Coturnix japonica: one gene and its partner. The protein of the gene in region 1 interacts with the protein of each later gene in a biochemical or structural test. Links are inferred from orthologs where the notes say so. Each region holds a gene or a part of one and is shown on either strand. Other genes may lie near its edges.

Region 1 (4,055 bases):
CAAAGCACCATGTTCCAGCATAGTCATTTCCATTAGCTTTGCAATTTCGCCAGTGCTGAACAAAAACCTGCATGTTGTGCTCACCAAAATCTGTGCCAGTGGAGGTGACAGCTGTTCATGGCCAGATGAAAAATGACTTGACTTTCATGTCACCATCACCACTGTGGAAATGCACCACCTCGCTGAGCTCATATCCACTGTTTGCTCTCCATAAACTTTCAGCAAGCATCGATAAATGCCAATGGTTGCCATTTATTTTCTGCACGGACGAATTTAATGCAACACCTTTGCTTCGCCCATGGTTCCACATCAGGTGCCATTCAGTCAGATTGCTCCTCCACACCCATCTTTCACGCAGCAACGTGTAATGGAATACTGGTGGGGAGGTTCGCCCTCTGCTGCCATATTACCAACATATACCTCTGACATCGAGGGCAGCAATAATAAAATAGGAGGCATCAATTTTGGAGCAGACCTAGTAAAACATGTGATCTTAAATATATATTTAATATATATTATACTAATATATAAATACTAATTTTTTTTATTTTGATATGATAATTGGCATCCACTCTGGTTTAAGGATGAGCCATCTTGGATTAAGGAGAAGAGATGCAATACAGCTTACCAGAACTCAGACCTCACCTCTAACCTGACTTCATTAATAAAAAGGAAAGTGTCCCTTCTCAAATACTGTACCATAAAGACAGAACATAATAAGACAATATAATAAAATAATAAGAGTCGCCTGTTAAAAGTGACTACTACTCTACAATAAACCATAGAAAAGCATTCAAAGGTTGTGACACACAAATTATCACAAGGGAAAGAAAAGCACTGCTCCAAAAGCAGAGCTGCCTGGGACAGGTGTTCAGACTTCCAGAAGAATGTCCATAAAGTTCAACAGTCATCCATCCAGATATGCAAGAAAATGGGCAGGCATAACAGCTGACTTAAATTTGGCTGAACAGTGTAAAAACCTGCTAAATTAGACTGAAGGGGGTGGGAACTGGGAGCAGAGAAAAGCAAACAGAAAGCAGCAGCACTGCTGGGGGATGTCGTTAAGAAATCCTCTGCCCCATGTGTTGAAACCTGTCAGGGTTGTGAAAGGTAACGAAGGAGACTTAAGTAGAAACAAAAACAGCATAAAGATGATCAGGGAACACTTGCATTCATTAAGGAATGGATCCAGAAGTCTCCTAAAAGTCTTCTGTCTCTGCCTGCCCTGTTAGCATGCTTGGCTCCCCATCCCTTGTGGTACAGCTGGCCCTTGCTGCTTCCTGATGGTCATCAACCAGATGAAATTAAACACATGACTCTCATTTAACTGAGATGGAGCACTAAACTACTTTAAAAGTTTACACAAAGCTCATAGTGCAAATACCACACAGATCCACAATTAGTTTACCAAGTTTTGCCTTATTGCTATAGCAAATACTACGTATTTTCATTTCAGACACTGGTGGAATCCATTGGTTTTGGTTCAAAGGAGGTTTCACAGTAGTTCAGGAAAGCCATTCCCAGCCAAATGGAGCCAAGATTGGCATATGCTTTCATCAAAGTTAATGCTCGTTCTTTGTTGCCAAACTGGTATTGCTGCCCAGCTTCACAGTCTACTATTGGGTATGATATTCCTTAGTGAACCTAGGGCAGAAAATAAAGGTGAGGGCAATTCAAGTGCCTTGCAGGACACAGCTGGGGGTCAGAATGCCCTTGTTCCAAGCCAAAGGCCTGTGTCAAAAGACAACAGTAAAGCTGGCCAGATTCCTCTTTTCTAACCCATGGCATTGTCATAGCCTTTGTCAGCTGACATCCTGACCGCTGGCAAACAGCCTTCGTTGGCTTACATGGAGCTTTTTCGCCAAGGTGGGTTATGCCCGTTTATTTCTGCACTTGCAAGCCCATTTCTTGCTGCAGCTTCCTCTCCACCCAGCAGCCCCTGGGAGTGGCCGAGCTGCGTGGGGCTGGCAGTATGGCTCACCTACCCTAACCAGGTCCTCCTCCTGGAAGATGCCCAGCTCCAAGCACTTCACGGCCACCTCTCTGGTCTGCATGTTATCCACAAGCGTGCCGTGCAGCAGCTGCACCAGGTGTACGCAGAGGTCGTGGTCGTCCTCCTCCCGGGGCGAGGGCAGCTGGCTGGGGTTCACGTAGCAAGCAGCCAGGTCACAGCCACCTTTCTTCAACGCCATCACGAACTCATTGAACCACCCGGAGCCGTGGGGTCCGCGTTCCACGGCGCGCAGCAGCTCCTCGGCCCCATCCACCTCGCCGCGATTCTGCGCCGCAGTCCGCACCCTGTCCTTCTCCTCCGGGCTCAGAGAGTGCATCCAGTCCAGCACCGGCAACACCCGGATACAGCGCTTCAGTCGCGGCCTGAAGCAGGAGATCATGTAGAGGAAACGCTCGTCTCGACACTCCTCCGACATCGCTGCGCTGACGGCACCCGGGCCGGCTCTGCTGCTACCGGGAGCGGGGGATACGGCGGCGGCCGAAGGAGCCGGAGTCGCCGGCTCGGCGTCAGCAATTCTCTGGCTGCCGCAGTTCCCGGGCATTTAACATGAACCCCGATGTGGCTTTCGGTTTCGTTTGCTGCTCGCTACGTAACGGCAGACATTCCCAACCCCCGTAGGGCAGGGCAGGGTACGGGGAAGTGTTGATTCCAAACAATTGTATAGTTACAACGGGGACGCTGAGTTTGAAAACAAAACTGACGCGTATCGTTCGCTTTCCAGAGCGTGCATTCCTAGAGCTGCTCACAGCTCATCCACGATCTCTATACGAGAGGGAGCACCGGGGTGGGGGGGTTGAGAAGGGGGAGGAGGAAGAGGAGGAGGAGGCGGTGGAAGGGAAAGATCAGCGTCCGGCTGCAGGACACGTCCTTTTCAGAGCGCAGCCAGTTGTACCTTCGTGTGCCTTTATGTCACGCTTCACTTTACAAACCCCACGTACTGATCTGTCTTGTCTGTCAGTCCTTCGGGTGCAGCCTAAAACGCTGGGGTCAGAACCGGATGGGTTTCCACAGTGAGCACAGCACAGCAGAACACGTCGGGCTGCCCACACAGGCAGCTGTACCAGCCCTAACGTACTGCCCATGAACTGGTACCTGACTTGAACTTAGCTCTGCTACTGGCTCTAACAGGTCAAAACTGTAGGCTTTGGATATTTGTGCAAATGAAATCTTTCTTCACAATTTATTTTTCTTCTCCATAACTAATGGTAGTATTCCAGACTCTGGTGATCTTTGCTATATAGATGTGATTCAAATTTAAAAATAAAGGAATAAATCTGAAGGCCTGAGGTCACTGGTTTCATCCTGCAGAGATCCCAAAGTGCACCTTGGAGGTGGCTGCTGTCCTCGTGTAAAACAGAATTAATTCACGTCAATCTTGGGTTTCACCCAGCAGCACTGCAGGATGAGTTCAGTTCAGAGATGCTGCAGAAATTCGGTTTTCTCTCTTGCTTGTATTTACTGTACAGTCATTTTCAGTCACTTTTCATTTCCTACTTCAGTTGTTTTACTTTCGTTTCCCTGCTGCTGATCTCTGGTTTCACTCACTGCTGTTTTGTATTACTGCACTTCGGAGTTTCACTTGAACAACTTCCTCTTCCCACTACTTTTTCCCACCTTCATTCCTAACATACCTACCAGCCCGTGTTTCTGGCAAGGCCTCGGGACCTGCAGCCGTCACTAAGGCACAGTTTGTGTAAACAGATGTTGTGCACACAGCAGTGTTACCTGAGGCACAGATACCAGAGCAGTCCTTTGTAGGGTCAGAGAGTTTGCAGACACTACAAGGATGCCTGTACCTTACTTGTGTCAATGCAGCCTGATGTTGGGACCACTCTGGGGGTGGCTGTTGCCACCTTCTAGGAAGGAGAAGATGTACAGGGCTGCTCTGGAAGTAATGCCTCCTATTTTTATTTTTATTTTTGGGGGTGGCTGTTGCCACCTTCTAGGAAGGAGAAGATGTACAGGGCTGCTCTGGAAGTAATGCCTCCTATTTTTATTTTTATTTTTATTTTTATTTTTATTTTTATTTTTATTTTTATTT
Region 2 (4,045 bases), on another chromosome or scaffold:
GCTGGATTTTCTCCTCCTGCCCCTTGTGCCGGGCGACGTAGCTGTCCTCCCTCACCTGCAGCCCCCACGAGCCGCCATCCAGCCCAATGTTGAACTTGCAGCCCTTCACTTTGTGCCGGGAGAGCCCACCGTAAGTCACCCCCAGCACCACAGAATGGCTGGAGATGGTCACCTCCCAGTAATGGCGGCCCTGCCCGTAGCTCTGCACACACAGCACCTGCCAGGGCTCGAAGCGATGGCTGCGCTCCTGCCAACCTGCAGCGGTGCTGGGGCCGTGCTTGGCTCTGCGCTGAGCACACGACAGCTCCAGGTACTTGTTGGCCGTGTCGGGATCGAAGGTGAGGTTTCGGTGATCTGGGGACAGCAATGACATGGGGATGCTTCAGCACAACCCAAAGTTCATGGCAGCCCCCACCAGAACCCCCCTTCCCCCTAAACAGATGGGTTTGAGGAGGAGATATGGGGTTGTGGGATTTACTGACCTGGTCCCATTGGCTATTCTGGGCTCCTGGCTGCTGCTAATAAATGTTGTTGGTTTTTCTATTAATAACACTGAGAACAGCTCATGCGACTCAGTGGAAGAAACCCTTATAGGTCCTGTATGCACTGATTGCCTTGCTGGGAAAAGCAACCTGACCAAAGCACCCTAAATATTACAAGTATTTGGGTTGTTTTTTTTTCAGCAGGGAGGAGATGGGAAAGGAAGCATTTAGGAAACGGTCCCTAAAGGAAAAGGGAAGGGGCACCAAGGGCTGAGTGTGGGGTGGGCACTGGATCAGCCCTGCACACCCCTCTGGGTGCTGGCACTGGGACAGTGCTGCATCCAAATCTGGGGCATCGGGAAGGGTGGGAATGGGGTGAGATCAGCAGGGGCTGACCCCATAGCAGGCACTGTGGGAAAGCCATCCCTTGTGCTGCTGCCCCCTACTAAGGAGCCTCTCCCCAACCCCATAGTGCTGCCCCAGCCCTGCAGCATCCCCCCCTCCTGCTCCTCACCCTTCAGCAGCTCAGCACGCAGCCGGCACTTGGGGACAGGGCTGGACACCACCTTCATTGGTGTCTCCTCGGGCTGCACCGGGCCTGTGGGTGACAGGGACAGGCATGGAGGGTGATGTCACCCAGCTGCTGAGGGCAGAGGAGAAGGGAACCCCATTGGGTGCACATTTGGGAGTGAGCAGCAAGGAGGGGACACGCAGGAACCACCCAGCCCCTCCTGTACCCAGATACCTGCCCTCATCCCCGTGTGTCCCAGCACAGTCTCAATGGCCAAAGTGAGGTGGAGGCATTTAGGGCAGCCTGAAGCTCACCTGGGGCAATGGGGTCAGGTGCTTCAGGGGCACTGGGGCTCAGCGAGGCAGGCAGCTCCTCCAGCAGCAGCCTGGAGGTAGCAGTGAGGATCTCGCTCATGGGTTCCATCACAACAGCCACGTTGAACTCCACCAGCGGTGGCACCTCCATGCTCTGCAGGGTTGGGAGCTGCAGGAACTCCTGCAGATGGACACACAGATATCAGGGGAGATGTGACAGCCCCCAAACCTGCATAGGCAGCCCCAAAATGCCCATTCTCCATCCTTACGGGTGGGATTTGGGGTGTACCAATGGTACCTTGAGGAAGGTCTGATGGTCAGTGCAGTCCATCAGGTGCTGTGCCTGGTCCCGGTGCTGCCCAAGAGCCTCCAGATGATCCTTCAATGCATTCCGGTCCTTTTCTATATGTCCCATAGCCACTGACTCCTCCTGCTTCACCTTGGCTACCATCTGCTCCCGGAACTTGGCCAGCGCTTCCTCCAGGTGGGTAAATTTGCTCAGGATCACAGCTTGGAGCCTCTCAGAAGAGTCCTGCAGGGATGGAAGGCTGTGAGGTGTGGAGTGCTCCCACCCAGCCCAGCCCTGGGGTGGCTGTGGCCTCACCTCGATGCTCTGTGCCCGCTCCTCCAGCTCCCGCAGCGCCTGCTCCATCCTCTCTGCTTCTCTCTGGGCTTCTTCCAGGGACCTTTCCAGCTGAGCCTGCGGAGGGAGGCAGCCCATACTGCAGCCCCTTGCCCCCAAGGACCATGTTAGGAGCAGGGCAGGCTGCATTCCTTTGCTGCTTCGTGCCTTTACACCCCTTTTTTCTAAACCAAAGGGATCACAAACGTCACACAACGGGGCTCCCCTTGTTCTGCCTTTTGGGGCGCCCTCCATGCCTGACAGCCACACAGCTCAGCACACAACCCCCCCATCTCTTCCCCACCTGCTTCCTGGAGCGCACGTCTTCAAACAGAGCCGTGCGGTGCTGCTGGCACCTCCGCACGACGCACACGCAGCAGATGCAGCGCTGCTCATCCTCACAGTACAGCTCCAGCGGGCGGCCATGCAACGAGCACAGCCCAACATGGGCCACCTCGCAGCCCCCTGCCTGCACCCTGCCCGTCCGTGCCAGCTCCACCACGTCGCTCAGCGTCACGTTCTTCTTCAGCTCCAGATGCTGCTCGCAGCTGTAGCGGCACGTAGGGCACGTGTAGCCCCTCTTGGGCCCGTTGACCGCCTGCTCCTGTTTGTTCCTGTGGTTGTCGATGCAGTGCTCGCAGAAGTTGTGCCCGCAGGGTAAAGTGATGGGCACCACAAAGAGCTCCAGGCAGATGGAGCACAGCAGTTTGTCCTCCAGCTTCTCCGAGGTGGGGGAGGCCATGCTGAGCTGGGGATGGGGAAAGGAGCAGGAGGGTTGGAAGCGGCCTGCAGAGCAGGAAGAGATGTGTGACGCTGAGCATAGGGGCGGGTCAGGGCTCTGGGCCAGCAGTACCCTTAAAGTGACACCCAGTGGGTGCAGCTGCCCAGACACAGCACTGCAGGATGCAGGAAATGCTGCACTGACAGCACCATGCAAGGGGCTAACAGGGCTCAGAGCAAGGCATGCCATTGTATCCATGCACTGGATGGGTTTTGCACTGTGGAATGATGGAATTGCACTGTTCTGTGCAATTCAATTTCACTCTTTCATTTGTCAATCGTTGCTCCTTGAGAGAGCATCTGTCAGAGCAGCTGCTTGTCCTCCTTTCTGCAGTGATAAAGGCTACAACCCAGCCAGCCCAACCTCACATCTTCCCTTATTATGCAGCTCATGCTACTCTCATGTGCTCAGGCACCGCTGCTTGCAGAGCAAGGTGGGCATTCCCAGTCTGCTCCTTGCCTGTTTTCAGTGCACATCAGCAGGGCTGAGCATTGAAACACAACACAGGCATCAAGGCAATCAGCCCTCATTCAGCTGGAGCCTGCAGCCTAAAGGGACTGCACTGCCCTGCACCAAACCCCCTCTCCTTGTCTTCACATCGCTCACTTGCTCCCAACCTCTCATTGCACTCCTTGTCTGCTTGCCCTTGCAGGCCCCTTATTGCTGCACACACGTTACTGGAGTTAAGCTGTAACAGCTCTGCAACCTCCTTGCATGCTGTTGCTTTGTGCTCACCCCTCAGGACAGCAGCAGAGCACCCTGCAGATAATGGTGCTGAGCAATGGCAGCAGGTGGGCACTTCCATGCAAGCTCCTTTGCAGGCTGGAGGGTCTTAGGATGTGTCTGGGGAGTTATTTAGAACATGAAAGTGAGAGATTGCACTGAGGTCGCTGCAAAGCAGAGCAGAAAGCATGGACTGCAGCAGTGCCAGCTCTGTCTGTGCTCCATTCATCCACATCTGGCACAGGCTGTGTAGGGAGTGAGGTGAAGGAGACTGATGTTCATGTGCTTCAGCAGCCATTAGGAGAATCCAGCCTCACAAATGCTGACCTTGTATGTCTTCACCACCTGTGTAGTTGTGCTCCTCCCTCCTTACAAAGCCCAAGAAGGGAAGGAGATCCAGTCCAGAAGAGCTGTGCTTCTCCACAGAGCTCCCCCAGCTCTGTACCACCTGGCTGGTACGCCAAGCTCTTCCCAATAAAGACAGGTCAGCATCACCAACATCACTCAGAGTATTTAATCTGATTCATTAATCTGAACACAGAAATGAAAGCTGGCATAGCCCTGAACTGCAGCACAGAAAGGGGAAGGAGATGCAAGTTGGCCTGGATTGTT

The links.
Region 2: of the proteins of IFIH1 (region 1) and TRIM65, one has a biochemical effect on the other in vitro, tested with the Homo sapiens proteins (2 studies listed by BioGRID, with this or other methods). The link is inferred for Coturnix japonica from reciprocal best matches to the Homo sapiens genes IFIH1 and TRIM65.

Annotation. Positions count from the first base shown.
Region 1 is NC_029522.1:25,614,624-25,618,678, forward strand, and holds the start of IFIH1 (interferon-induced helicase C domain-containing protein 1), read right to left. Parts: upstream 2,801-4,055; 5' UTR 2,556-2,800; coding exon 1,986-2,555; intron 75-1,985; exon of another isoform or gene 74-74; coding exon of another isoform or gene 1-73.
Region 2 is NC_029533.1:4,022,707-4,026,751, reverse strand, and holds the start of TRIM65 (tripartite motif-containing protein 65), read right to left. Parts: upstream 2,801-4,045; 5' UTR 2,672-2,800; coding exon 2,234-2,671; intron 2,008-2,233; coding exon 1,912-2,007; intron 1,840-1,911; coding exon 1,606-1,839; intron 1,489-1,605; coding exon 1,308-1,488; intron 1,081-1,307; coding exon 997-1,080; intron 355-996; coding exon 1-354. UniProt on the Homo sapiens protein: E3 ubiquitin ligase that plays a role in several processes including innate immnity, autophagy or inflammation.